Drosophila melanogaster: one gene and its partners. The protein of the gene in region 1 interacts with the protein of each later gene in a biochemical or structural test. Each region holds a gene or a part of one and is shown in the gene's direction. Other genes may lie near its edges.

Evidence for each region.
Region 2: the proteins of Mis12 (region 1) and Nnf1a form a complex in vitro, tested with the Drosophila melanogaster proteins (2 studies listed by BioGRID).
Region 3: the proteins of Mis12 (region 1) and Nnf1b form a complex in vitro, tested with the Drosophila melanogaster proteins (one study listed by BioGRID).
Region 4: the proteins of Mis12 (region 1) and Kmn1 form a complex in vitro, tested with the Drosophila melanogaster proteins (2 studies listed by BioGRID).

Annotation. Positions count from the first base shown.
Region 1 is NT_037436.4:6,965,434-6,973,532, reverse strand, and holds Mis12 (Mis12), read left to right. Parts: upstream 1-4,484; 5' UTR 4,485-4,598; coding exon 4,599-4,668; intron 4,669-4,731; coding exon 4,732-5,024; intron 5,025-5,136; coding exon 5,137-5,319; 3' UTR 5,320-5,498; downstream 5,499-8,099. Other genes in the region: Galphai (G protein alpha subunit i), read left to right, coding at 1-190; CG10063 (uncharacterized protein), read left to right, coding at 1,175-1,241, 1,304-1,875; CG9953 (uncharacterized protein), read right to left, coding at 1,980-2,107, 2,180-2,651, 2,714-2,852, 2,914-3,701; CG10064 (uncharacterized protein), read left to right, coding at 5,726-6,150, 6,213-6,917, 6,990-7,219, 7,282-7,498, 7,562-8,099.
Region 2 is NT_033778.4:20,581,210-20,589,173, reverse strand, and holds Nnf1a (Nnf1a), read left to right. Parts: upstream 1-1,935; 5' UTR 1,936-2,000; coding exon 2,001-2,101; intron 2,102-2,157; coding exon 2,158-2,370; intron 2,371-2,444; coding exon 2,445-2,559; intron 2,560-2,764; coding exon 2,765-2,920; 3' UTR 2,921-2,952; downstream 2,953-7,964. Other genes in the region: qsm (quasimodo), read left to right, coding at 7,541-7,613.
Region 3 is NT_033779.5:806,780-814,586, forward strand, and holds Nnf1b (Nnf1b), read left to right. Parts: upstream 1-3,797; 5' UTR 3,798-3,866; coding exon 3,867-3,979; intron 3,980-4,029; coding exon 4,030-4,242; intron 4,243-4,309; coding exon 4,310-4,424; intron 4,425-4,479; coding exon 4,480-4,653; 3' UTR 4,654-4,752; downstream 4,753-7,807. Other genes in the region: Dbp21E2 (DEAD box protein 21E2), read left to right, coding at 4,857-5,717, 5,783-6,532; Saf6 (SAGA factor-like TAF6), read right to left, coding at 6,678-7,114, 7,172-7,405, 7,464-7,807.
Region 4 is NC_004354.4:11,570,098-11,574,976, reverse strand, and holds Kmn1 (kinetochore Mis12-Ndc80 network component 1), read left to right. Parts: upstream 1-2,534; 5' UTR 2,535-2,578; coding exon 2,579-2,786; intron 2,787-2,844; coding exon 2,845-3,188; 3' UTR 3,189-3,594; downstream 3,595-4,879. Other genes in the region: CG11696 (uncharacterized protein), read right to left, coding at 1-924, 994-1,119; Reepl1 (receptor accessory protein like 1), read right to left, coding at 1,453-2,175; CG11699 (uncharacterized protein), read right to left, coding at 3,677-3,808, 3,869-4,110, 4,201-4,267.

The DNA of each region.
Region 1 (8,099 bases):
AACCAACACCTTCGAGGAGGCGGCCAACTACATTCGCATGAAGTTCGAAAACCTGAACAAGCGAAAAGACCAAAAGGAGATATACACGCATCTCACCTGCGCCACGGATACGAACAACGTGAAGTTCGTCTTCGATGCCGTCACCGATGTGATCATCAAGAACAATCTGAAACAAATTGGCTTATTCTGAGAGGGCGGCGGAGCACAAGATCATCATTATTTAGCTGGCGTCGTAGTATTAAAGGAAAACGCGCATAAACATTTCCATTAAACGCTAAGAACTCGATACATTTACGCTCGTACGATCCATATATGTTTTAAATGCGTTACATGCTTGACACACGTAATTTTAATAACCGATTTGGTTGCCAGTAGTCGCGGAACAAATAACCTAACCAGCTGCAATTTAGTTAACCGTGTCCATTAAATTGCACCCATAAGCTAACTAATTTAAACATTAGCCTAACCACACAAATGTAAAGTTCGACAAAGGACAGCCGGTGGGTTTTGTACATCCTAAAACCTCAACCCGATCGGCTCCCTTTGGAATTTAGTTAAGTTTCGCGGGCTAATGGCGGTGACCAAGGGGAGCACCACATCCAGAAATCCCCAGAGGTGTCTCCTTGGGCGCAAGCCATTTTCCGGACGTTTATTCTTTGCCAAGAGCTTGACAGCGTTATTTAAGGTGAACCTAAGGCCTGGAGTTGTAAGCCCTAAAATGTAACTAGTAAACTTACTAATATGTTTAGTAATAGCCTAAATAAAAGACAATTTATACAAAATAACCATTCGTACTTGAATGCTGCCAATGCTGCTTATTATTTCATGTGCGCTTACAGAGCTGACAACTTAGTAAAATAAATATTAGGATCCTTAAATTATGTTGATCATTGCTCAGTTAGTTTAGTGTATATTCCAATTTAGAGCTATAGCTTGTGCCTATTTTCATAAATATATTAGAAACAGTAATTTTGTTTTAGGTTTAGCTTTTTTGAACTTAGCGTTCTTTCCCAAAAAAAATGGGATTTTCTTCGGAAAGAGTTGCAACTCTGGCTGATGATTGTCAAGTTGGCCTTGCCGCATTCTGCTTTTTGTCAGGCATTTTGGATTAATTCGTTTGTTGAAATTGTCAATTGCTTCAGTGAAGAATTTTTAATCTGCTTAAACTTGGAAAATGATTCGCGCCATGGTAATGACCAAATGGAGTAAGTCGGTGGCGGGACCACTGGTCACAGCGTGGAGTAAGTGAAGCAGGCACGTGTTTTTTTCTTAGCAAACTTTAACGCCTTTTCCCACCATAAAGACTACTCCACATTGAATCGCCTCAATGGCAATACTGTGCGCCCGCGTGCTCTGTTCCTGAATCTCGACCGCAAGTTCTCCGCCGAAGGTGGCGGCGATGAGAAGCCCAAGAACGTGCCGCCTGGATTTGCGGCTCCAGGGTTTCCATCCACCTTGGGCAATAACCCAGAGAACACCACGCGTAAGGATGTGCCCATTGGCGAGGTGCAGGCGCCAACTATTTCCGTAGTGAACGCAGGCGGTAAACTGGGCAGAGCTGAGCCACTGGAGGCCAGCACCATCGTGCGCAGCAAGGGCACTTCGAACGAGGACAAGATGACCGAGGCGCAGAAGAAGGCATCGGAGGCCAAGGAGGCGGCCGCCAAGCAGTTGCAGGATGTCATGGCCAACTTGCCTAGCAAGGAGCAGACCGAAAAGTATTTCTTTCGCGTGGTTGCCTTCTTCTATGACTTGACCTACCTAACCGCCACCTGGTTGCTCAACTTTGTCGAGCACAATATCGTTCAAAATGCCAAGGTGCAGCACTACTGGAAGCGATTCCACGAAAAAATGGAGCAGGCCAAGAAGGATTAACTCCCAGCGGAGCCGAAAAATATATTATAAAACTCATGCGAAAGCAAAAAATAAAACAACTCGCTGACGAGTACAAAATTACACTTGACTTGGCCACTTTTCCATCAGATTAACGCCGAGGTGTAGCCATCCAGTAGTTTGGCCAAGAATTTGAGTATCTTGTTGCGAGCGGCCACCAGTTGTGGCGGATCGGTTTTCACCGGCTCATACATATTGGCGCAGTGAGCGGTTCCTAAAAAAAAAAACACAATAAATGCTTACATTACCCAAGTTATATGTGAAAAATGTGTTGGTAAGCACATACCTTCTATGTAAATGGTAGGAAGTGCTGCGTTCGTGGACTTGACCAAGCCCAAAGCATGCCAGGGATCAATGGAACCGTGCACGTACAACACATTTGTGGTCTTTGGCTTTAGGGCGCCATAGTTATCATTTGTGGCGGACACCACCAGTTTGAGGAACTTGGCGTTCATATTCTTGGAGAACACATCCATGCACTGGCGTATAAAGAAGTCGACACCGAAGCGATCACCAAATGTGTCAGCCGGGTTATCCGAGGTCTGATAGAAGCCGAATTCGTGGCAGGTCTGATATGTCCACTGGCGCATTCCCTTGGCCGTCTCCGAGTCCCAGGAAACGTTCTTCATGTCCGCCACCATCTTGTCGTACTTGTAGTCCAGGCAGGTGGTGTTCGATTCCTTCAATAGCATATCGTTGACCAGGCCCAAACGGGTCACAGGTGGACCAGCCGTGGTGTTTAGCATGACATCGCAGATCTATGGAGTTCAAACATTCTTAGTATGGACTTGATAGGGATCAAAGTGAGGATGAAACACACGTCGTCAATGGTGATGGTGGCATGGGGACTGTTGTCCTTGTTGTATTGCACCACTCCAGCAAAGTTGCCAGCCAGATTCTCAAAGAAATTGGCCATGTCCAGGTCGTTTTCAATGGAGTCCTTGATGGGAGTGCATGTTCTGAGTATAAAATGGTTTACAAAATTAAAATTTGTGCAGGACGATAGCCTAATCCACTCACTTGAACTTCTCGTCCAGGCTGCGTTGTCCAATCATGTGCTTGAGTAGAATCTCCACTTGCGCAAAGCTGCGGGTCACGGCGTCCACGCATTCGGGCTTGTAGGCAGCTAGAGAGGCTTTGACCACCTCGAAATACTCCTTGAAGTCAACCTCAGCCAGCAGAGGACCACTGGAGCTAATTGAACCGTAGATGAGCTCGGGATACTTCTCGCGTGCCCAGGCGGCCAGCGATCCCGGATAGGAGCCACCGAAAGCGATCCATTTCTGGCCATCGCCCAGATTGAACTTAACCTTCATGGCGGTTACAAAGCTGGCCAAGTCCTCCAGAGCCTGCTCCGAGCTGAGATAGTGCAGATTTTCGGTGGACAGATCAGCGGTGGGATGGCTCTTGCCATAGAAACGATGCTCCAACTGCAGACACAGCGCTCCAAAGTGCTCGGCATAGTGCACCCAGGCTCCTTCGCGCATCCACTTGGCCGACGCCTCGCCCTCGCCACCGATCATCAGGAATACGGGTGCGGAGCTGTCATTCCGATAGAAGTCGGCATTCACAAAGTATCGCTGCTGCCAGGTGCGCTTATCGCTCGACTTGAAGTGATCCAATCGCTGCTCGAACCACAGATCCTCCGAGTGCAGGCTCCTTTGCAGGGTTGGAATCTTGCTGGGCTCCCCGAGGAATCCCTTGGTCAGCCTTCCGCGTCGAAATCCCATTCCGGAAATGGGCGCAAGCAGTCCCAGGAGCAGAAGACCCACTCCCAAGGGCCTCAAAACGCCCCCAATGAAAAGCATATTTGCTTCCTTTGTTTGTTCGGGTCAAGTAGAATTTGCCAGTAATTGAAGTATTTAATTAGTTGGAACCTCGCACAGTGCCTAACTGTAAATAGCGACTGAAGGAGAGTGGTGTGTTCTATTTATATAGGCACCGTTATGTGTGTCGCACTCTCCTGATTATTCAGTTCTCGCTGTATTATCTATATTCGCAAAGCCGGCAAAGCAAAACTAAAACAGTAGGGGCATTCATAGTTATTGATTTCAATCATTAATTGAATTAATTTAATTTTAAGCAGAGAAAGATTTCTGTATGCTGTAAGTGTTCTGGTAACTTTACAAAACTTAATTTAGCTTTTTATTTATTTATATTATTTCCTAGCTAGATATTATCGATGAGCTTAATAGCACCGTAAATGTGAACGTGTTTTGCAAAATTTTTGTCAAGTAATTAAGAAAAGTATACATTCTTGCATGCTTTGATAATTTCCATCTGCGTGTAATTTTAAATTCTCACTGAACTAATTTAATGGAAGTTTCCTGAATTTCAAATGCTTTAGGTAGCTTTAATAAACAACATATAGTTTATTTGAATTATTCCATATATTAGGTAAATATTATTGTGGAGTTTCACTGTGCCGTTAATGCGAAAGCTTAATAAATGTATTTGTCAAAAATTTTAGGAAATTGTGCATGTGTATGCGTTGTTTTTATATTTTTCATCTGTATAGTCAGTTATAAGTAGCCAAATTTAGTAACTAGATTTTGTAGCTAAGTATGGCAGCACTGTTGCTGTGGTAGCATCTCTTTGTATTCTGAAAACGGTAACACTAATTGCGCGACAATTTGGATTGTTTACGTTTTTATCCAGTTTAATTGTAATATAATTTAAAAAAAATATTGTTGTTAACTGTCATAATGGACTTCAATAGCCTAGCCTACGATCAGAAGTTCTTCAATTTCACAGCGGCACAGTTGTCTGCAGAGCGTGAGTGCTACATCCTTATATCTCTGGATCAGCGTCCTTTATCCATTAATTCCTTTTAAATAGGCGAACATATTGTGCAGGACATAATTAAGAAGGGTATTGGTCAGATCATCGACAAGATCAAGACACCCGCCACAGCGGAATTGCTGGAAGCCGAGAAGGAGACCGTTGAGCGTCGTTTCCAGGCATCCGCCTCCAAGGGCCTAAAAGCCCTCAGGGAACTGGACAGCAAAGTGTTCCACGTTCCACCGCATGTGCTGCATCCGGAGCACATGTTCGTCGAGAATCAGTATACCAGCGAAGAGGAGGAGCAGAAGACAGCCAGGTTGGAGGAGCTGAAGGCCAAATACAGAGAGGTAACTTGTAGAACCAATGGAAACTATCTTGTATGCCTCATTTTAATCATTATAATGGGGAAAAGGATGCTTTATTTTATGTTTTAATAATGCTAAATCACATCAATTTCAGAACATGGCCATGCTGGCGCATTTGAAGATCGAGGAGGAGAAGTACGCCGCCATGGAGGATCTCATCCAGAAGGAGATCGAAATGCAGGATCGCGTGCAGCGAAGCTGCTCCTCCCTCAACATCACCAAGCTGAAGCAATTCTGGAATCAAGTGCCCCTGCAGATAAAGAAGGAGACTGATTAAATAAACTAACTGGATCAAGTTTTTTAATCTACATTTCCAATATCTTCTTTCGAAACTAGTTTTAACCCTGGAGTCATTTATAATCACTAAGACTCTTCTATATTCCACTTTACCTATTATTATGTCGTTAACTTAGTTTTAAACTTAAAATTAAATTAAATTAAAATTATTATGAATCCGAAACACCTAGATGATTACTTACTAGTTTTAAACCAATTTACCTTAGCATTATATTAGTTCCTTTGACAACAGCGGCAACCAAGCAACGGTCGCTGTTTAAATTTTCCAACTGCCTTGTTTTCAAACAGAAAACAAGCCGGTTAAAAAGTTTCAAGCACAGAACAGACACAAAAACCCCCTTATATGTTACATTTCGAATCGTATATTTTGCTATAAGCCTGGAAAAATGGGAGACTCGCACGATGTCTGCAGGCAGCTGCTGCCGCGCGCAATCTTCGGCATCAATGGCAAGGTGGAGAATGGAGTGCGCCAGCATCCGGTCACGGGATCCATCATCTTTGCGCTGGGCAACAAAATCGGCATCGCCGACTACAAGAAGAATACGCAGGAGTTTGTGGCCGGACACACGAACACCATATCGTGCCTGGATCTCAGCAAGAGTGGCAAATACATGGCCTCCGGTCAGATCAATCACATGGGCTTCCGCGGCTATGTGATCATCTGGAATTACGATCAGCGCAAGGAGATCGCTCGCCACGATCTGCACAAGGTATCTGTGCAGGCCATCTGCTTTACTGCCCAGGATAGATGCGTTGTGTCCATCGGTGGCGTGGATGATGGTTCCGTAATTGTCTTCGACATGGAGGCATTGTAAGTTGTTCATATCAGAGCTCATGCTTGAACTCCTTCAATGACTTCGTTTGCCATTACAGCTCTCCCATTTGCCAAACACCCGCATCGAGGGCCATCTCTGGAAATGCCTTGACTGTCCGGCCGTTGCACAACAATCCCTACTTCTTTGTGACCGCCGGCGATCGCCATCTGCGTCTGTGGAGCATCCTGCGTGAGGAGAAGAAGCTGTACGTACAGGATGTCCTAATGGCCAGCAAGACACGGGTTTTCTACTGTGCGCGCATCAATAAGACGGATGAGTTTGCCTATCTGGGCACCGGAACTGGGGACATTGTAAAGATCGTGCTCAACTGCTGCGATCGTGATCATGTGAGCAAACAAGGCTCAACCAGCTGCATCCTCGGAGCCTTCGGCACCCACAATCCCAGGAAGCCAACGGGCAGGGACTGCAATCGTTATGTGAATGGTGTGCGTGCACTGTATGTCCTGGAAGGCGGACGTCTGCTGATTGGAGCGGGAAATGGTGATATAGAGCTGGTGGAGGAGCGTACCGATGTGCCGCTCATTAACTTTCGCGATTATCCCGGACCCACATGGCCATATTTGCGCACCCTGAAAAAGACGCACGTTTCGGGCAGAATCTCGTCCTTTGTGCGCTCGAAAACGGACATGTTTTACATCTGCACGGACACCAACGAGATCTATGGGCTGAATATCAAGACTTGGGTGCTCAAGCTGCTGCGAACGTGCCACACCAAATCGGTCTACTGCATCACGTTTCCCAAGTGAGTTTGGATGGAACTAACCCTTCTACTTGCAATCTATTTGCTACAATTGATCATATATATGTATTTAAGGAACTACTCTGGTGTCTTTGCCACGTCGGGCAAGGAGTGCATCCGCATCTGGTCGTCTGGTCGCAAGCAGGAGCTGCTCCGCATCATGGTTTACAACTTCAACTGCGCCTGCGTGCGCTTTACCCACGATGGCACTAGCATAGTCTCCGTTTGGAACGATGGCATCATTCGCGCCTTCACTCCCATCACCGGTAGACTCATCTACGCCATACCCAACGCGCACAACAAAGGTGAACTTTGGGAATACCAATCCTTCTAAGCCTTCTTACTGAAATCCTCTCGTTCAACACAGGTTGCAGTGCATTGGCCGTGGCCTCGTCGGGTCGCTTGATCGTCACTGGCGGCATCGAGGGACAGGTGAGGGTGTGGAAGATCGATCCGTATCGCCAGGATCTCGTCGGCGTGCTGAAGGATCACTCGGGGCCCATAACCTCGCTGGATATCAACTATCTCGACACCGAAGTGATCTCCGCCTGCACCGATGGCTCTTGTGTAATCTGGGACATTAAGTGAGTTAATCTCAGTGGCAAAGTATAGCATGTATTCCTCATTCACCAAGTAATCCCCACCAGACGCATGACCCGCAAACAAGTGGTGACCGCTAATACGCAGTTCATGTCCGCATCCTACTTCCCAACTGGAGTGCAAGTGATCACCTGCGGCTCGGACGGCAGAATCATCTACTGGATGGTGTACAATGGAGCGTTGATCAGGGAACTAACTGCGTCCAAGAAATCGTCGGTCAACTGCTTGGCCATCAACGAAACGGGTGACTACTTCATCACCGTGGGCAGCGATCTGCAGGTGAAGCTGTGGGACTACAACAGTGGTGCTGTGGTGGGCATCGGATCGGAGCACGCCTCCTCCGTGATCAGTTGTGCGTACAGTCCCTGCATGACCATGTTTGTCACCGGCAGCACGGACGGATCGCTGATCATATGGGATGTGCCGCGTGACTTCTGGGGCAGGCCCAATCCGCCGGATGTCACCAAGTATTCGCTACCAAAGACATCGTCCAAAACCAGGATGAGTGACGTGCCGTCGCGGGTGAACTCGGGCACCAATCTAAAGACGACCAAGGGCGAGAACATCGATGGCCTGCTGAAGGCC
Region 2 (7,964 bases), on another chromosome or scaffold:
GCCAGAAATCTGCGGGTAGAATAGTATAGGTGACTGACTCTTTAGTTCCATGGAGCAACAAATACCAAGAGAATAAACAAAACGAACTATTTAGGTGTGTCTCTGAAATATCTTACAAGTCAAATTTGGTGTCATAGAAATTTTGTAAAAAGAATTGAGCAAACAACTGAGATTTTCAACAAGTCATGCCTATTGATTTGTTAATATAATATATATTTAAATTTTTAAGCAATACTATTTACAATTTGTTTGCTGACCAATTTGGAACTCAACACATTTACGTGAGAATTCAGTTCAATGTCAACGAACGCGTGCAAATAGCCGCGAAATATCTTTGGAATTGCTTCACTCGAAATAAACGCTAGAAACAAACGAAAAATACCTCGGCCAAAAAAGGCAAATAAAAGCGAATTTTTTCGCAAAACTGGAAATCTAAACAGAGACAAAGGAGATTCGTCACAATCGCCAAAGAACGAAAAGCAAAAGTTGCAGAATTGCTGAGAAGATTTGCAGACGGAAGAAGAAGAGAGCTGTTGTTAAAAAGCTGCAAATGCCAATGGGTTAATGAGGGGGAGGGGGGCAAAGAGAAAAGAAGAGGAGCAATGAAGAGAGGGGGGAGGCAAGTAGGTGGTAATAAGCTGCACCCAACCAACAAGCGAAACAACAACAGTTAGCTTCCATTTGTATTTTTCTCTCTCATTAGCCTCTCTTCGCCATTTCCTCTGCCTCTCCGTTTTCTACGTACCTCATCGATTGATGCTAAAAACTATGAATAAAATATAGGTTAGGCCTTTTCCTTATTTGTAAAAAGCCAACGAGCGTTGAACTCGTCTTGTAGCGTGGGAGTTTTGCTTTCGGAACAACGAAACTATTTTGTTTTGATTTTATCTCAGCGAATTATAATGAAATTTATGCACCGGTGTAACCGCGTGGAGATAAAAGAAAAAGGGAAGCAACGAAACGAAAAGAAAAGAAAAAACAGCAAATGTGAAAAACAAAACAAGCGACTAAAGCGATGGGCCAATTATAAAAACAACAACTATGCGACTCTGTACTTTAAGTAAAAGCCGGCATGCGTGCGAGCAAGCGAGAGAGGCAGAGAGAACAGGGCGGCAGAGCGAGAGAGAGCTAGGAATATTTCTGTGTGCCCTGGTGGTTGTAATAAAATGAAAGGAAGAAAAACTGTAAAACTCAAGCGCCGAAGCCAAAAGAACGATTTTGGGGGTGTAGTTAAAAATCACACTATATTGCTATAAAAAATCGGCATGTATTGGCGAATCTTTTTCTTAGAAATGTATTCAGGAAAACACAAGACCACACAACACACACACACATTGCTTTTAGCCTGGTTTATTTGCCTCGCAAATTCGCTTTTCATTCGCGTTTCCCCAGGCAAAAGATAAAAAAAAACTGTAGAAGAAAAACTCACCTATCGGGATGCCTTTGTTTTCCTTCAGCTACGAAGACTTTGATGCCACCGAACTTAATCACTTAACTTTCAATTGGTATTCAACACGATTTTGTCCGCCACTAAACACTGGCTGGTAAAATATTATTCAAAATATGTATAGCACAAACACACTAGAGCTGAGTTAAAATGCACAAAAGTTAGAGAGGAATTGGAAAATGGCGTATCACCCTGTCATCGATACCTGGACTATCGATATATGATGGTTGAAAACGGTGGTTTAACACTTATTCTTAAAAATACTGTTCGGTGGTATTTATTCATTTTGTTTGACATTGTAATGTAAAAGGCACATATTCTCACCATACCGCTGAATGAAATATATTTATATTTTCAACATCACTTATGTTACAAGGGACTTATGAGTAATAAGAGCTAGTGGAAATACCTCAAAAAAAAACCAATAACAGGGTTGTCACCATACTCTATAATTTCTATCGGCCTGGTGTTTTGCAGAAACTTGCAACTGGTCACACCAATGTGGCATTGTTTTGTTTTGTTTACAATTTGAATTTACTAACAAATTATTTCAATGGAGGATTCGGAAGCCGCATTTAAACGCCACGAGGGTGTGGGACCAAAGGTGAAACAGGCCTACGAGGAAGCCATTAAACAAATCTTTGCCGACTTGAGGTAAGCAGCAGGCATAGTTAACATGATAACGAATATTAAAAATCGTTAATATCTAGCTGCGCAGATCTGCAAGCGTGGGATGCCATTTACCAGGAGCACGAGCAATCCGCTCTGGACACCGAAAGCATCGTAGATCGCACTCGCAGTCTGATGACCAAGGTTGTGCTCGAAATGAACCGATGCTTTTTCGCCAGCAACGATGTGCCAAATAAGTTGCAAACTTTGGAAATGCTCAAGGAACATTTCGCTGCCTACGAGGGCAAGAAATGGTACATGTGCAGCATAAAACATAATACGATTCGATTGCATTGCTAACTCTACTCTACTCTATTGTAATCTATAGGAACGTGAACACTGCAGCACCCGATAAACTCACTCGGCCGCTGCGCATGCGATTTTTGGACTTCAGCGTGGAATTCATGGAGCAGCAACTGGCCTCTCAGGCAAAAGAACTTGAGGTGCGATTTGGATATTAGTTAATCTTTGTACTATTACTGCACTGTTTTGAGTGTACCAAAAGATCCCTAAAGTTAAAGAACCTTCGAGAAGATTTTTAGTTTAATAATTTCATTTCTATAGTTTATCATTTGCATATACATATGTACATATCTAGGTTTGTTATTCTATCAGTATAACTAACATTTGTTTATATTTCAATTACAGATTGCTATGGCCAAGAGCAATGCCAATCGCGAGCGACTCCAACATGTCCATGACAAGCGCCTGAAATTGACTGTCCAAATGGAGCAGCAATTGTCGCAGTACGAGAAAGTTAAGACAGAACTTATTAAACTAGGCGAAGCATTGAACGACTTCTGACAAACTTAAATGCAATAAATAAATAAAATACTACGCTATGAGCTTAATGATTTGAGTGGGGGGTCTTAAAATGGAAATTCATACAAACTAATCTGCATATTCATTAATGTACATACATATGTATGTACACATGCATTTGTCATTGACATTCACAATTTATTTAAATTCGTATCATTGCAATAAGCTCATAATATTAACGAGCAATTGTTTGTATTGGCGACAAAAAATCTTTTAAAATTGAATGTATATACATACATTTCAAGTTATCTCTATAAAGAATACGATAAATAGTACGAAGTTTTTAGCTAAACATGTGTAAACTTATGTATGTATGCATGTGTTTTTTGAGTGATTTCTTAGAATCGCTGTGTGCTTACACACTCCCATACATACATACTTGATTGCGTAGTATAAATCAAAGGAATGGTATTAGTGTAAAAAAGAACCGAATTTTTGCTAGATCTTCCTCAAAAAGTAACTAATAATATACATTTAAAGATGTTTTTTAAAAGATTCGTTTTAATTTCCCTTGTGAGACTGCACTCATTATACAGATTTTCAGTTATATTTTAAGGCAATAAGGACATTGACTCTTTAAAGTGAGGTTATGTGATGTGTGTATTATTGAAATTGAGCGCTTTCGCACACACAAAGAAACACACTTATTGCATATGTGAGTTTGAGTGCGGCCCATTCCCACTTGATTTCAAAGGTCATCTTCTAGCACTGTCACAAAGATTTCGAGTTCAATGGAATTCAGCAGTCCGTTCTTTTCGATTTGACCGTCGACGGAGAAGGAGCTTACATCTCTTGGTAAGCCATTTAAAATGTTGACAAATCTAGACATGATTTTCCCAAGTGCCTGGTATCAGCAAAGTGTTATTTTTTATGTTTATGTAAAGTACACGTTTCTGGTACTAAGTACTTCGAGAAAGTTACCTGCGTAGGATATCAAAACTATCACTGCAGTTTCAGGCTTTTCCCAACTACACCTATTAATACATATTTTAACGTCCTATTAAAGTTGTAGTTTGGAAAGTTTTGGTTTTGCATTAGAAATCGCCACTCAACTTGGTTTTTTCTAAAATTATTTAGGTCCGTTTTGCATATTTTAGGTGTTTTACAAAATCTGTGTAACATACTTAATATATTTTTAGAAAACTAACACCTAAGTGTACGGAATCAAAAAAAAAAAGACAAATATGTGATATTTAAGCAAATTTGCCATAATCTCAAAATAGGAAAAAGTCTGTTATGCTTATATTTGAGTGTTTTAAAAAATTAGAAAACCCAATTTTAATTATTTTTAGAAAAGACAAAATGTGATATTTATGCTTGTTTTTGTTTGTTTTACAAAATTGGCATAACCGTCTTTTACCTATTTTTAGAAAACTAACACCGAAGTGTACAAATTCAAAATGTGATATTTTTTTCACATTTGCCATAATCTCCTTAAAATAGTAAAGGCTGTTATGCTTATTTTTGTGTTTTTTACAAAACTGGCATTCCCGTCTTACTTATTTTCAGAAAACTTACACCAAAGTGCACAGATTGAAAAAAAAAACACAAAAATGTGATATTTCATCACTCATCAACTCAAAATAGTAAATCGAAGGGCAAAAAAATATGGTATTCTGTTTGCTATTATAAAAGTTCACGAGCTAAGCTAACGATTCATTAAAATATGTACATACATATTTAAGTGTTAAAAAAAAATGTGTATCTCGCGAATTCCTTCGATTTCCTCGCGTTGCCGCCATTTTGAATATTCTCTCTCCCGAAAGTTGTAGAGTAGAGCAAAAACTTTGGATGTTTTGAGAGTTCGAAGTTCATACTGTCATCCCGCTCTAAACCTCTGCATTCCATTGTGTCCCGTTTTGTGATTTTTCCTTTTCGGGATCTTCTTTGCGTTCTTTGCCCCCGGCATTCAAATTCCGAGAGTCGTCGCGAGTGGTCGTTTGAAACGTATTACCCGACATCGTTCTAGCCAACAATTTTCTGCTGCGGATGGGGGCAGTACTGTTTTTTTAACATTGAGTATTGCACTTTTCACAGCCCGAAAATGTTAGCAACTGCCTTATACTAACAATTAGCATTTTTAAATTATTAGAAATGTGAATTAAGTTTGAAGCGATTTGGTTCGTCACAAGGGCAATTCTGCATTTTTTAACTAGTATTGCACTTGAGACGGCCTGATTACTTTAAAACGAATCATTTTATGAGCAAAGTAATTAGTTTTGTTGTGTTTTTAAACTCCTTGCAATAGGCGGCAAGACGGTGAAAAATCGAAATTTCTAGATCATTTTTCGGACGGTATATGGGTTAATATTTCATTTGTCGAATATATTGCACATTCACCGGCCTGAAAATATCAAGAATTAACATCGAAAAGTGAAAAAAAAGTGTTTGCGAAAACATAAACATTTGCAGGGCGGGTCGTGTGTCAGTGTATTTATATCTTAGCTATATTGCACACTTCCCGGCCTTTAAATGTCCAATGTTTCAACATTTAAATCTGTGAAATCGTAAAATTATAAAAATCCAGTTGCGCTTTTCTCGGAAATCCGCAATCCGTTAGGTGTGAGCGAGATGACAGCTGTTGCGGTTCTTCCCCATTCCTCTTTCGCTTCGTCACAGACTTGCCAGATCGGCAAATTGTGTGCAAAGAGGAACGGGGAACTTGGTTAATTTCTTTTGCAAGTGGCAAGTGTTTAATTATTACAATTTGTGCTTAACTTAATATTGGCCGATGCTTGAGCTAAATATTCCCGTACAACTGGTGCAACAAAGTAATAATAAGGCATTTTGAGTTGAATTTAGCAAATTAAATTAGTGCGCTCGGCTGGTTGCCTTTATTTTGCACGTCATTTACCGTTTTTCAAGAGGGCCAGTAGTGTATGGCCAGTAAGTATGCACAAATAAATGTTTCTAATCCGTTTAATGATGGGATGGCCATTGGTTTGGAAAACTAACAAGTAGGAGAATCATGAATAATGCCCAAGCACGCGCGAAATCAAGAGGTGTGAAATTGGGTTCACGGGCTGCGCCTTGGGCTCTGGAAAATGCAGTAGATGACCAGCTGAAGAACGGTTTTAGTTTTGGCGGAAGTGTAAGTGTACCGTTAGTACATATAGCGAAATATATAGGGAAAATATCCATAACAGCTGCTGCATTTAGCTCATTTTAAACTATTACTTCCCTGTTCTCATCTGTGGCCGTTGAGAACGAACCGGCAGTTCGTGCTGACAGCGAGCGCAATTACATAAATGTTTGTTTTGACAACAATAGCGAGTGCAACAAAAACAACAACAGCAAACGCAACAAAAAAGCCGGAGACGAGATTGCATAATTGCTTGTAAGATTTTGCTCCCACAATTTCTCAGTTTTTGTCATGGGACAAAAAAAAAAATTATACAAACTTACCGGCTGATTGTTATCTCCGGCAGAGAGCGGAAAAGAGCGGTAGTGAGAGCGATCCTTTTACCGTATTTTACAGCCTCTCGGTTAAGCTAACTTGCTAAAGTCGCTCTCTTTTTCGCCGTGCGACAGAGATGCTCCGTGCGAGAGAGCGACTTACAGTGGGTCATTTTAATTGTGCTCTGCTTATCTAAATGTATTCAAGTATATCCATAAATTGTAATGTAGCACTTTCGTAATTGCCGGCTTTATTTATGCACTGTGAACAGCCAGGGGCTAGATGGCGCCTTAGCATTTTTCCCCACTGTCCACGCTCTAATGCCTAAGAGCGTTGGTTCACTAGCTAGTTTATAGCTAACTTTTGAAAACTCCGTTTGTTAAATAATTATTCAACACTATCTTATTCAAAATTCTTAAAATATTTTCTAAGGATTTTTTTTTTTACCAATGAAAGCATAATATAATAAAAATGCATATAGATTTATGTTGCAATAATTCGGATAAAACGGCACACTTATCTTCTTATATACATACGTACTTATTACATTTCTTTTGGGTAATTAACCAATTGGTTAACATTGAGTGCTTTCACTATAGTTTTGCACTCTCTGCCATATAAGAACGACTTCTGCTCTGAAACTGAGTCAGCATCTCTATACGCCGGCTCTCGATTCCCGAGGTAATGAAGTTGCAGCCGAGCTGAGCCTCAGTTGCCTGGCGACTAGCGAACAGCTTGGACGTGTGGTGTGCTCTTCGGTGTGGTTTCGAGTCTCGAGTTCCGAGTTTTCCCCATATTGCAGCCGTCAAGTAAGACCCGCTCCGAGTTTTGTGTGAATTTGTGTGATATGTGTGTGGTTCGCGGCTCGTTTCGTTTTTTATTTGCCGTTGTCATTGGTTTTTGATTTGTTGAGCGGTCGCCGCAAGCCACTTGACGGGCATTCTCTTCTGGCTTTGTTTCATAATAACTCGCTGTGTGTGTTTGCGATGCGGTACATATATATGTTATGGTACCTACATATATGAATTGTGTCTGTGAAAACGTCAAAAAGGCCAGGCCAAGAATACAAATAACAAATAAAATGTTGGCCCGCTTGTGGAGCATGTGCCGTTGCTTCGGCTTCGGTTCGTTCGAAATGCTTGTAATAATATGCCGTTTGTCTTTCCGTTTCTACCCCGACCAATTAGATCCGGAAATTTTGGAAAATGCTGCTCTCAATGCAAATGTGGCGCTCTCTGTGGCTGGCGGCCCTATTCTGCGGATTAGCCCAGGCCAAAGGTAAGCACTTTTTCTATCTATATACTATACGCAAAAATTTAAATATAAATATCAGAGTTAAGATCGGGGAGTGCAAGGCTAAAAAGCTTGAGAAGCTCCCATAGCGCTGCCATGATGTCATTCGCGTAATGAAACACAATAAGTATTTATTTTTTCTTTTCGATTTTGTTGAAAAACCGACAAAGTGACCTCGTTTTTGGTCGTGAAGTGCACATACACACACAATTTGTGGCCATTTGGAGTGATGGTCGAATAAAACGATCTTCGGTTTTGTCGGGGGCGTGCTGGAGCTTTTTTTTTGGTAAAAAAACGAATGACTGAGGCAACGAACTTGCGGCGACTTAATGAAGT
Region 3 (7,807 bases), on another chromosome or scaffold:
GTGCGGAACAGGCCCACATCCTCATCCGCATCCGCATCCGCGTCCGCATTCGCACTCCCATCCGCCTATCCATCCGCCATCCATCCGCACAGGTGTGCCTTAGCACGTGTGGATGGGATTTGGGCAGCGAAGAGTTATGCGATTTCTCCTGGACACGAACGGAATCCAAGTTAACTGCATTACCAGGCGGAGAAGGAGGAGGAGGAGGAGCCACAAGTTGATTTTCAGCGAGAAGAGTATAAACACAGCAAGCAAATATCCGCACCTTAAATGGATACGTATTGTATCTTATTGATTGAACAAGTTCCAATACCCAGCTGGCCTATGAAGATAGATCTTGCTATTGATCATAAGTGCAGTATGCCACGCAACAAGCTACCCATTTTTCTCTCAGTGCAGGCAGGGTGAGTTGAGAGCCAGATGTCGTTGCTTGCCACTCACTTGTCGCCTGTCATCCGTCAGTCCCGAGTCCTGAGTCCTGAGACCTGAGACCTCCATGTCGTCGGTCGCTGGAAGTCGTGTGCCAAATGACCAATTTCAATTAGAGATGCGGAGCCAGAACATCGGAGCTTACAAGAAAGCACGCAGCACCCACACGCAAAATTCAAGTGTCCTTGGAAAGCTACACGGAGAACTACTTGCACTCCCATCAACTCGCCAATAATAATAAATAAGCAGATAATACTGTTCATAAACACATCTGCAGATAGAGTTGAAAGCCATTTGTTTGAATTGAAAGTTTGGCTAAGAAGTAATTGCTGCAACTTTATGTGGCAAACCTTCGATTTTTTTTCGCAGTGCAACCACACACTCAGCAATCTGCTGGCTGTTTAAATATGAGCAACAGATTAAAACTTAATTTAAAGTTGACCCAGCCGGGTTTCGTGTTTCCACTTCAAGTTTAATTAATATGTTAAGCCCGTAAAAGCCGCTTCGGTAAACTAACCCCACCAGCCGGTTGTTGCTCCGGTGTTTGTTTTTTGTTCGGCCCATTCCCGAAAAGGAAATCAACCCCCCCCCCTCTCCCACCGAGAGCTTAGGCAAACAAAAGGTTTGCGAATCGCATTCCATGGAAGATGAGGCGTCTCCAACGATATGAAGGACTTACATGTGTAGCTGGAACTCGGTTTGCATACCAATTGTCTGACGCTACTTTCGACCATTGTACTTGCGTTTCATTAGTGTTAATCCGCAAAATCGGTAGGACTACGGCTGCCATATCCAGATATGTGCAGATACATATACACAGCCTTGTATATGGCGGCAGCTGTGGTTTCATGCATTGTTCTAATGCGTGCTTAAAGCGCATTTCCAGCACGCATGAGTGCCCACAGTTGCGGTCACATGAATAGTGGTCGGCTCCTAACCATCGATTTGCGCGACAGCTTGTTAGTTCAGAAACTATTAAAAGTCGCTTAACTCAGGCAAATTCTGCACAATTGATCTACATATGTGTGTCAAGCACACGTAGGCGACCTCCACTGTGGATTTGCATGCGAATGCAGCTCCCAAATTCACGAACAAAGCACAAAGCACCACTCGACAAATGCGCTGTAATTCGAGGCGACAAGTATGCAGCGAAAATTTTAAATGCATTTCACGCACTGCGGCTGACGCACCGCTCCCCCAGCCCCACACCCCCTCCCACCACTGGTATTTTCCCAGTGGTTCTCCATTCCTGTCACGCCCGCAAGTGTCGCCAAGCGACGGCTGCCGCTGCCAGCCAGGACCCACTGTTGCACACAGGACGAACAGATCAGAGCCAAGCCAACATATCCGCTTCTCATCGATATTTAAATAGCGCATAATCAAGGTGATGATAACACTATCAGCAAATGGTTATAACACACTGATGTTCTTAAACTAAGAAAACAACAATGTACGTTTAGAAGCCTAAAAGGATAAGTGTTTCTTTCAGTGCAGATGGCGTTGACTTGATTGGAATTTGACCAGAATTTCGCCCACTGGCAAAATGGAGCATCAATTAGAGCCAAGTGATTTATCCAATTTGTAGCAGGAGAAACCCTTGACAGGACGACACGAGACTTTCTGATTAGTAAAATAAAACTCGAATAACTTTTTAGCAATCTGACGTCAAAGGATCAGACACGAACGCTCGGAATTGAATATCCAAAAGTTTCTTCTTTCCTCGAGATACAGCTGAACTTTGCTCAAGAACTGATTGCTTTATGTTATATGGAAACTCAGAGGAATAACTTTCTCAAAGGGTTTCTAGGTAAGTGATATGAGTTTATTAAGAAGAAGTATTTTTTCAGAACTTAACATTTTCACTAATTAAAGAGAAGACTTTCGGGGAAAGCATATTCTCTCTTTTGAGCAGGACAAGCGCAAACAGTGTGAGAAATGCATAGTTATTTGGATTGGTATAATTCAGAATTCAGAATTCAGAAAAGTATGCAAAACTTTGTCTCAGAATTTAGGCTCATTTGCATACCAGTCGCACCACAAAAAGTCAACATCTCCAAGTTTTTCACACCATGTGCACGAGAATAAGAATATTAAAATCGCATCTTGCTTGAGGTGTTCGCTTTATAAAGCCATTACCAACTATCCGAAGGACGAAGGCGGGTGGATCCTGGGCGGTGGTTCCTGAACAGTCCGCATGTGTCGGCCGGCATTTTAACACTTTAATCATTGAAATGCAAATTCGGAGCCGAGTTTTAGCAAGACATGCGGCAGAGTGGCACATGCATGTTAACACGGCCACCGACTGGCACGCCTCCTGATTCTGCTTCTGTTCCTGGAGGGGACAGCTCAGGATTCTGGCCGGGATTTAGCATATCTGAGATCCGGGCCACACAAAGAGAAAATGTGTATCGAAACGGAGAAGATGCTAGTGGGTTTTTCAAATCTCACTTAATGGTGCCTGAAAGTATGCACCAAGTTTTGAAAAACATGTATGTCCCATGGGTAACAATGTTTTCCGGGTAACAATTTCGAACTTTCCACCTTTTCATTTTTGTGGCATTTATGGGTCGTTATAAGATTGATGTCGAAATGATTTTTCCTGTGCAGGGGAGAGCACATTTCGAATTCTGCCTACTCCACAGCTGAGTTCCTTTTCGGACCCGGAAAATAATGGAAATGCCGGACCCGGCGAGCGAATAAATTAACCTGGATCGCATTTATATTCGAAAGTAGTGGCTCGGTGATGCTTAAACCTGAGTTTGCCGCAGAATGCTTCCTTTATTGCACGTAAATAAAGTCATAAAGTCATCATTACAACCGCGCCAACGAGGAGCACACGATAAGGAGCACAAAGGACAAACTTTTGTGACTGCGATAAAAATTCGCAAATGCGCACAAATTACTCAAAACATATTAAAAACTGCGTCCCCGCCTCAACAATTTGCCCAAAACGTTGCACAAATTAAAAACCCTCTCGAAAGAGCGGAGATAAAAGGAAATTCCATTGTGGCAAGTTTTCCCGATGTGGCAAACTGCAGTGAAAGCACAACTTTCGGGGAAACTGAAAAGTGCAGTTATTGAGTGTTAGTTGCAAGTTCCTTCGCCGATGCGACATGTGAAAAGTTGTGTAATTCAGTTCGAGAAATACACTCTGAATGTGGCGTAAAAAATGAGTTCAATGTTATATTGAGTGTTTTCGAAGTAATGCCAACTTACCAGATTTGATGCTTGAATTTAACCAATTAGCCAATAACCGTTGTTTAAAATAATTTATACAATATATATGTTATCATAATTGAAAGCAGCTCGAATACCCTATACCTACAATCATGTCATATAGGGGTTGGTATTCACAACCTATCTGTAAATGGTCACATATGTTTTCGGTCGCCAAGTTTTGCTTGTAATTATTATTTTGCCAGAATTGTGTTAAAAGTATGAATAATATTGAAGAGGACACCGAAGCAGCCTTCAAACGGCTCCAGGCTGTCATTCCACAGGTGAAGCAGGCCTACGAGGAAGCCATTGGACAGATCTTCTCGGATTTAAAGTAGGAGAATGGCTGATTAAAAGATTGACCAAACGCTTACTATTGCTTAGCTCCTCAGATCTTGAGTCGTGTGCCTCCATCCTCGAGGAGCACGAATCCACGAGCCTGGACACCGAGCAAATAATCCACAGCACCCGTCGGCTTATGACCAAGATCGTCCTGGATGTGAACCAGTGCTTCTTCTCCGGCAACGACGTGGAGACCAAGCTGACCACGCTGGAAATGCTTAAGGAGCAGTTTGCCGCCCACGAGGGCAAGAACTGGTTAGTGAATGGTTTTGAATTTGGTTGTCCAGCAGCACTTTCCATGGTTTTTAACGTAAATCCGCAGGAACTTCAACTGTCTGTCCCCTGAGGAACTTACTCGCCCTCTGCGCATGCACAACTTGAATCTAAGCATCACATTCATGGAGCAACAGCTTAAGAAACAGGAAAAGGAACTCGAGGTATGTATTTCAACCTCCGAAGAATTAAGTAATACTTGGATTACTTCGATTTTAGATTGCTATGGCCAAAAGCATTAAAAATCGACAGCTTATACATGATGTCCACGCTGAACGGGTGAAAGTGGGATGTATGATGAAGCAGCAGTTGGCCGAGTACCAGGCCATTAAGCCACAGTTAATGGAAATGGAACGGCTAATAAATGATTCGTATGTGCAGGAAGAAATGTAATTTTATAAAAAAAAACAGATTATTATTATTATTATTATTATTATTATTATTATTATATTAGTTGCTGGGTCTTGAAATAAATATGAATTTCAAACTTACCGCCACAAGTGGCATTGAATTCGAGCGGCGCTTTCCAACACTTCGATGCGTGTGCACAGCTGACTTGCCGGCAAATGAAAAACATTGAATAATATTCCGAAAGCATGCTGAACTTGTCCGTGGTGCTCCGGGTGCAATCATCGCGCCATGTGGCTTCATATGCCACAGCGGCGGCGGCGGCAGTTAAGACGAAGCCACCAAAGGCAAAGTCCAAGGGCAAAAAGCAGAAGGGGGAGCCCCTAATCTCCTGCAGAAGAAGCCAGTTCGATTTAACCCAATACGAGCAGACGGATGCCAAGTTTGGGAGTCTTTCGCTGGCCTCCAAGGGCTGGCTGCACAACAAATCCAAGGGAGACTTCTTCATCCTGAACGCCAGCGTGCGAGGTGAGGAACTCCAGCAGGAAATGCAGACCGTCGATGAGTTCCTCGAGAGCACGGGGATGCAGATTCATCCGCAACTCCTTGAGAACTTGCGAGTCGAGCTGGGCATCAAATTACTGACGGGAATCCAAAAACAGGGAATGCCCGTTGTCCATGGAAATGAGCACTGCCTCATTGCCGCTGAAACTGGGTGTGGAAAAACAATTACATATCTCCTGCCTATCGTAGACAAACTCCTCCAGAAAGAAGTGGTCACCGAACGAAAACTCAACACCCCCCGTGTCTTGATCCTCACTCCCGGCAGAGAACTAGCCACGCAGATTGCTGGGGTCACGGAGAAGCTCACCCAGGGCACCAATCTCAAAGTGCAATCTTTACTTGGCGGCAATACCAAGCAGCTTATGATGAACCCACAGTTCGAGGAGGTGGACATACTGGTCGCCACTCTGGGTGCACTTAGCAAACTGGTGACCACTGGCATCTACCGCATGGAGCAGGTTCGTCATCTGGTTCTAGACGAAGCGGACACCCTCCTAGATGATACGTTCACAGACAAACTTTCCTACTTCCTCAGGAGATTTCCCGTAAGTCATTCTAGGCGATTACCAAAGGAATGGCTTCAATCAGCTTGTTTTTTCTTATTCGACAGTTCCACTTGGTGCAAAAGGAGGATGCTGGCACCCAGATGATCCTGGCCTCGGCCACCATGCCCACGAACACCAGAGAGATCCTTCACAAAGTCATAGACGTGGACACCATCCGTGAGGTCGTCAGTCCGCACCTGCACCGACTGATGTCTCATGTGACGCAGAAGTTCCTGCGGCTGTCGAAGGCCGATCGGCCCGCCACACTTCTGTCACTCGTGAAGCATGATCTTGCCAAACGTCGCCCTCTTATCGTGTTCAGCAACAAGTCCACCACCAGTGACTTCGTTTCCATCTTCCTGAACAACAGCGGAGTGAACTGCTTAAATCTGAATGGGGATATGCTGATGAAGATCCGTCTTGGCCGCTTCGAGCAGTTCCAAAACGGTCACTGCGACGTCCTTTCCACCACCGATGTGGGAAGTCGTGGCCTGGATACCACACGAGCTCGACATGTGGTCAACTTTGACTTTCCGCTCCACGTCTCCGATTATATCCATCGTTGTGGCAGGATCGGTCGGGTGGGCAACATGGACAAGGCGCTAGTCACGAACCTGATATCATCGCGCCGCGAAATCGACGTCGTCCAGCGAATTGAGCACGCAGCTCGAACAGGTGGACTTCTGCCGGATGTGAATGCCAACATCCGAAACATTATCAACAAGCGGATTGTGGCGGAGATGAAAGCTGCAGGAATGCCCGTGCCCGCTTTGGGCTCACTAAATGGACATACGCCTCAGGAAGAAGCCTTTTAGTTCTGTGTTTTTATGTATTACGAGTAAAGTTGTATCACCTTTCGGAAGACCGAAGAGGAAGTCTAAAGTAAACGAAGAGTTTTATTGAGATCCCCAGGTCCTCCTGGACCTCCAGAAGGTCTTATAATACTTTCCCAAGTCCCTTTCAGATCCTTAGGTAGTGATAGCCACTGATGGGCGACCACTTTCTCACGTTGGTCAGGGGCTTAAAGAGTTTTCGTTTGGCGATCAGGATGTCGGAGCTGGCACCGCCACCCCCACCACCGTTCGCTGCCGACGAAGGCGAGTCTTCGGAGTGGGGAACAGTCGCAACCTTCGGCTTCAGCAGCACCGGGCGGCATCCTGCAAACTTAAAGCGGATGTTGCCCGCGCAGTTGAGCTGAAGATTTGGTGACTGAAGGTCGGGGAAAGCCTCGCAGAGCGTAGGCTTCGGTTTGAGTGCCTTGCTAGGATCGTCTCCGTGGCACATGGCTGCCGCAAGAGTACTCCATTCCAACCGACGCACTCCCGGCACTGATTCTATTCTGTAAGCGGGTTGTTTGGCCTTCACATACCGTCTGGTTACCATCTTTTCGTAGGCTCCTGCAATGATTTTTAGTTACTTAACCGCTTTTCATGGAACACATGGGTGTTTCTTACGCGCATAGTGGACCAAGAAGGGCTGCAGAGCAGCACCGCATCCGTACTCCAGCCATTCATACAGGTATACGTCATCATGACCGCCAAGGAAGATGGCAGCCGGAGCCAGATCCGGCCACAGGCTATCCGGGATTTCCTCGACGCGCAGTTTGTAGATGTAGGGAATAAACTCACGAAAGGCATATTCTCCCAGGGCAATGAGACCGCGCACTGCTCTACTGATATACCTAAAGTCTTAATTAAGAAATCCAAAGATAAGGATCCAGGCTAACAAATTGTAAGGATGATTTACCTCTCTCACTGCTGACGTGGCGACCTTCGAAGAATCTCGCTAGGCGTCTCTTGATCAAAAACAGGCACTCTGCATGTAGGTAACCACTTTGAGATGCCAGCTGTCCTATAGTTTCACACAGCTCGTCCACCAGGCCATTGCCGACTGGACAGGCAAAGTAGCTGGATAGGTGTTCCGCCTCCGGCTGAGGATTCAATTCCTCCTCCTCCGATTGCAGCTTGTAGATTGTGTGTTCCATGGTGCTCTCACCCGGAAACATCTGGGGTTCTTGCTCCTGTTTCTCTACTCCCATGACCTCCGGATTTTCCTGGGTTTCCGGATTATGGCACTGGTCTGGCTCAACC
Region 4 (4,879 bases), on another chromosome or scaffold:
CTTGTGGCAGTGCAAATGGTCGACGTACAGTGTCCGCTTCTTGTACCGATTGTTGCAGCACTTCACATAGCCAGTGCAGTCGTGCTCCACGCGAAAGTGGCGCTTGAGATCGTTGAAGTCTTCCAGCGGGGCGGCGCAAATGGCGCAGTCGAGCTTAACATTGGCGGCTATATAGTCGTCCATTTCCTTGATGCTGCTGCGCTTGACGGGCACCTCCGAGGTATCATCATTATCGTCGGCGGTTACCAGTTTCTTGGTCTTGGGTCGGCCACGTTTGCCGCGCGGCTTTGGCTGTTCGTCGGCATCTGGTGTTAGCTCGCCCCCGACATCTTCTTCGTCCTCCTCGTCTTCGTCGCCATCCTGATCATCCTCTGCTCCAGCACTGCTGCGTTTAAGTTCCCTTTGCCGGGCTCTTGATTCCCGTAATGATAACTCTGTGATCTTGGCCTTGTTCTGCTGTTTGCGCTTCTCGTACTTCCTTTTGATGATTTGATGCGTTTGCTGCAGCGCAGTTTTGCGCGGCCTGCCCCTGGGGCGCGGTTTTACCGGATCCGGCTCCGGTTCTTCTTCTTCATCTGGCTGCGATTCCGGCTCGAAGTCCGGTTCAAAGGTGTCGCCATAGTCACTGTCTTTTTCATCGCCCGCGGACAAGGCGTCGATGACGGGTTCGCACAGTATGTGATCCTTGATGTCATCGCCCTCATAGCTGAGCTTTGGCTCGATTGGCGACTCCGTGTTCCACACGACCAGGGCGGGCTCCGGCTCCGTCAGTTCGGGCAGCTCCGGCAATTCAGTTTTCAGCTGCAAGGAGCGGTGCAGCGACCGCTGCTTCTCCGCTACCATGGAACAGAATTGCTCGATCTCGGCCAGCTGCCGCCAGCAGCGGTTGCACAGGCACGTGGACACCACGTCGTTTTCCGCCAACTGAAAGCGAACAATTCAATCATTAGAAAAAAACATCTTTTTGGGGTAGAAAAGTCCAAATCCACTCACCACCAGCAGCAGATGTCGCTCGATCAGCTCGGCCAGCTGGCGATGTGCCGGTTGTCCCATTGGCGGTTCCTGGCCGAAAATGGGCACCCCGTGCTCAGCATCCTCCAGGCAGAGTCGGCATATCATCTCATAAAAGGAAGGACACAAATCCCGAGTCGAATCGCGTTAAATGCAGCTGTTTTTGATTCGTTGCTGAGTTTTGTTATGTGAGCGTTACCGGACCGCGAAAAGAGACCTCCGCGACTGATTGTGCAAACACAAGAAAATAGGCTAGAAAAAATAGCTAAGAAGATAACCAACACATTGGTTCAATATTTTGTGACTAAAATTAATCAATTTAAATGCTTTTTTTGTATAAACTTTATTGCGGTAAGGTTAGTTTATTTCTGAGATGTATGCTTTTTGAAAGCTCTGAACTTTGACAACTTCCGCCTGACATATTGAGGATATCAATTGATGTCACATAAACTGCGACGAAAGATTCATTTCTTGCTGGTTGCTTGATGATGGCTGACGCATTGGCTTCGGCGGCGGTATTGGTCTCTCCTTGGGCTTGGAAATAGGCTCCTTAATAACCAATAAATCAGATTCGGATCCGTGCAGCAGATCCATATTTAAATCGATATTTTCTCCCAAAACCTCGTTGATGGTATCAGATAAGTTACCCATCTGTTTCCGCTTCTCTTCCAACTGCCTTTTGGCTATGGCATCGTTGACCAGATCCTCGATGCTGGGCGTTATTTGGAGGGCAGGACGATGACCGCTGGGCAGGAGATAGCGATCTGCCAAAACCATCAAATGGCTAAGAACGGAGCAAACTTGTTGCCACACCAATTCGCCCCATTCCAAGGTGATACGTCCCAGGACCTGGTCGAAGGATTCGTTACAGCTAAAGGATCGCAGGAACTCCTCGTAGATCACCTCACTGCCGCCGCCCACAGAGGGCAACATCCAGAACAGGAGAAGCACCTTGAACTCACTTAGCAATGGAATAAATGCCAGCAGACCCGCTGTGAAATAATCAAAGGCCACATAAACTCCATAGGCAATCCAGTAGATTAACCATCCGCGAAGATCATTGACGCTACAATTCTGACTTTTCAGGATCTTGTAGGACGCGAATGCTGGATAGAAACAGCCCACCAGAAGGGACAGTATGTGTATCACGATCGCATAAATCATTATTTGGAAATTTTGGATAATCTTAAAATTTTGGATTTTGAGAAAGTATATATATAGCTGTGTATTCGGTTCTCGATTTTGTTCATTTGGTTTGACTACTTGAACAAATACAATAAATTGAAATGTGATTCTAAACGCAAGGCCTGCTTAGCATTCATAAAATGACTTATGCCCTATAACCCTTTTCCCCTTTTTTAGTTCAGCTTTTTTTCAATGAGTATATATCTTTTTATTAATATTAAAAGTGCAATTTTTTATATCGTATATTTTAATTTGTATAAAAGGTTTTGGCTTGAAAAGAGCCAGAGCGAATTACGTTCAAAAGATGTGGCATCACTGGATCAGCGATGGGTGTTGGCAAGCGTTTACGGATTTAAAAACTGAAAACAAACGAAGCGACGCGATGGAGCCAGCCGAAAGTCCAGAAAAATTAATGAAATTCGTACGCCGCAGTGACGTACTGGAATACGTGGGCAACACGAGTGCCGTCGATCTATCGAGCGGTGATCTCTCCGACATCGATCTCAAGGACGTGCCGGCCCAACTGGAGGCCACTTTGAAACCGCGTCGCTATGAAGCAAGCACTTTGTTTAACATTGACCTGGACGATAGTAAGTGCAATCCTTGTGGTTAATTAAATTGCCATTTACTTAACGTACAGACTTTCAGTCTGGGATCCTAGCTGTCAGGAGGACGAGGTGCAGCAGTACAAGGAGCGCGCCCAGAAGGAGCAGCAAAAGTTCTTCGACTTTGTAATGCATGCGGCACTGGACACGGACAATCGCAAGGTTAGCTTCAAGCCAAACAAGGAGCAGCAGCGTTACCTAGATCAGGGACCCAATTTGCAAAACTTCGTGCGAAGCTCGTTGGCTTTCACAAACGCGGCCATCCGATTTCAGGCGGAGCACGAGGACATGATGGAGCTGCAGTGCAATATGGACGATCACTACCTATTCATGCGGAACACCATGATCAACAACGCTATACACCAGAATATGGCCAACCAACGGTGACCCTAAGCTATGCATAAATATACATATGTGAATTGTAGATATTGATAAATTAAATTAAGACTCAGAGATTGTAAGACGGTTTGCTTTTGGCTTATACAGTATAATTCGCTTAGCTGCCTCGAGTACTTTGCACAATGCCTCGATGCAGGTAACTTAAAAATGCAGCTAACTTAATTTTTTTTTTTCTATTTTCTATTTTCTATTCACACAAAAAAATGGAAAAATAATGCAGATATCTTGCCGATGCAGCTAACTATCGATGCAGCTAAGCGAATTATACTGTATTTATTTCTACCCTAATATGTAACTCCCTAAGTTGCACTTCTGATGATGGCTGCCTTTAAGTCTGACCGAAAGAAATGAAAACCGATCAAACGTCTTGAAAACATTGTCTGTATGTAAACTGAAGTTAACAAAGGTTTCGTTTTATGTTCTGGTCTACTCAGGCGTTAGGTCTACTTTAAATTGTGTGTATATTTGTGAGCTGCTTATTCCTTGTTCCAGGCTGCCAGGTATTTCATGAGGTCCGTGAGACTCTCGAAATCGGTGCGGCTGGCTGGTGGTTCGTCCTTGGTGATTCTTGGCAGTGCATTGCCCATCTTGAGGCGGAACTCCTGGAACTGCGAACGAAACGAAAGATTTAAAGCGAAATTCATTGAACAAATCGGAGGCATGCTCACATCCTTGGCTCCGGATAGCTTCCAGAAGCCGTAGCAGAAGGCGCCGGTGCCCATCACGGCGTACAGTGTGCCCCAGCCCAGCGCCCGCAGGGCCAGGGTGGCGCCCTCGTCCATCAGGATCATGCCTTGCCGCGTTCCAGCCTGCTGGAGGACCTTGCTATCCGTCTTCTTGGCGGTGGCCAGCGTGCGCGAGAAGCCGAACAGAGCGGACACCCCGCCCACCAAACCCAGAAAGGCGGCGGCTAGAAAGGAGGATGAAATGGAGTTGTACTTCAGTCAGTTGCTGGCTGATATATATGCGTGTGTCTGTATGTGTTTGGAGAACCACCTACCCTGGATGCGGAACTTGCGCTCCTTCTCGGCGGCCACTGCATCCGCGCTGGTGCCGGCCTCGCTCATCCTTCTCAATTGCGATTTATTGTTGTCGTAACTACTAATGCCCGAATTGGATCGCACAACACAGCTGATTGCTTGACCGCTCTTGACAACCAACACTGGTGCCGCAGCTGCCACTGCCACTGACGCGTTCGCAGAGGTGCTAAGATGGCGGGAGGGAAGCTAGAAGTGAAGTGCTAAAAGATAGTTCAAAATATTCAACAGGTACTGGCCTTTCTCACTGACTATGAGAGTCAATTTGATTTTAATGTGCTGCATTTAATTTATTTGTTAAATTACTAACTAATACTAATAGATATATTTATATAAAAGATATAGCTAAAAAACGTCAGTCTGGCAACCCTGCTACAACGACCGCAATATGGTATGGTATTTCGCCGCTCGCCCTGCAGTCACACTTTTCGGTCGGCGTTGTCCGCATTTTCACATCGCATCGCGTCTGAAAAAACGGGCTAATTCGCATTCGCAATCGCCTGTAGGGCCCGACTGGTATAGAATGCACGCCCAGCGTGCCAGCAACAAACAGTGATTGTTTACCCAGCCTTCTATTTGGGCTTTCGCGTTTTTCGAGCTCCTTCTTTTCCCTTCCCGGTCGTATCCCTTGCCTTTTGCACG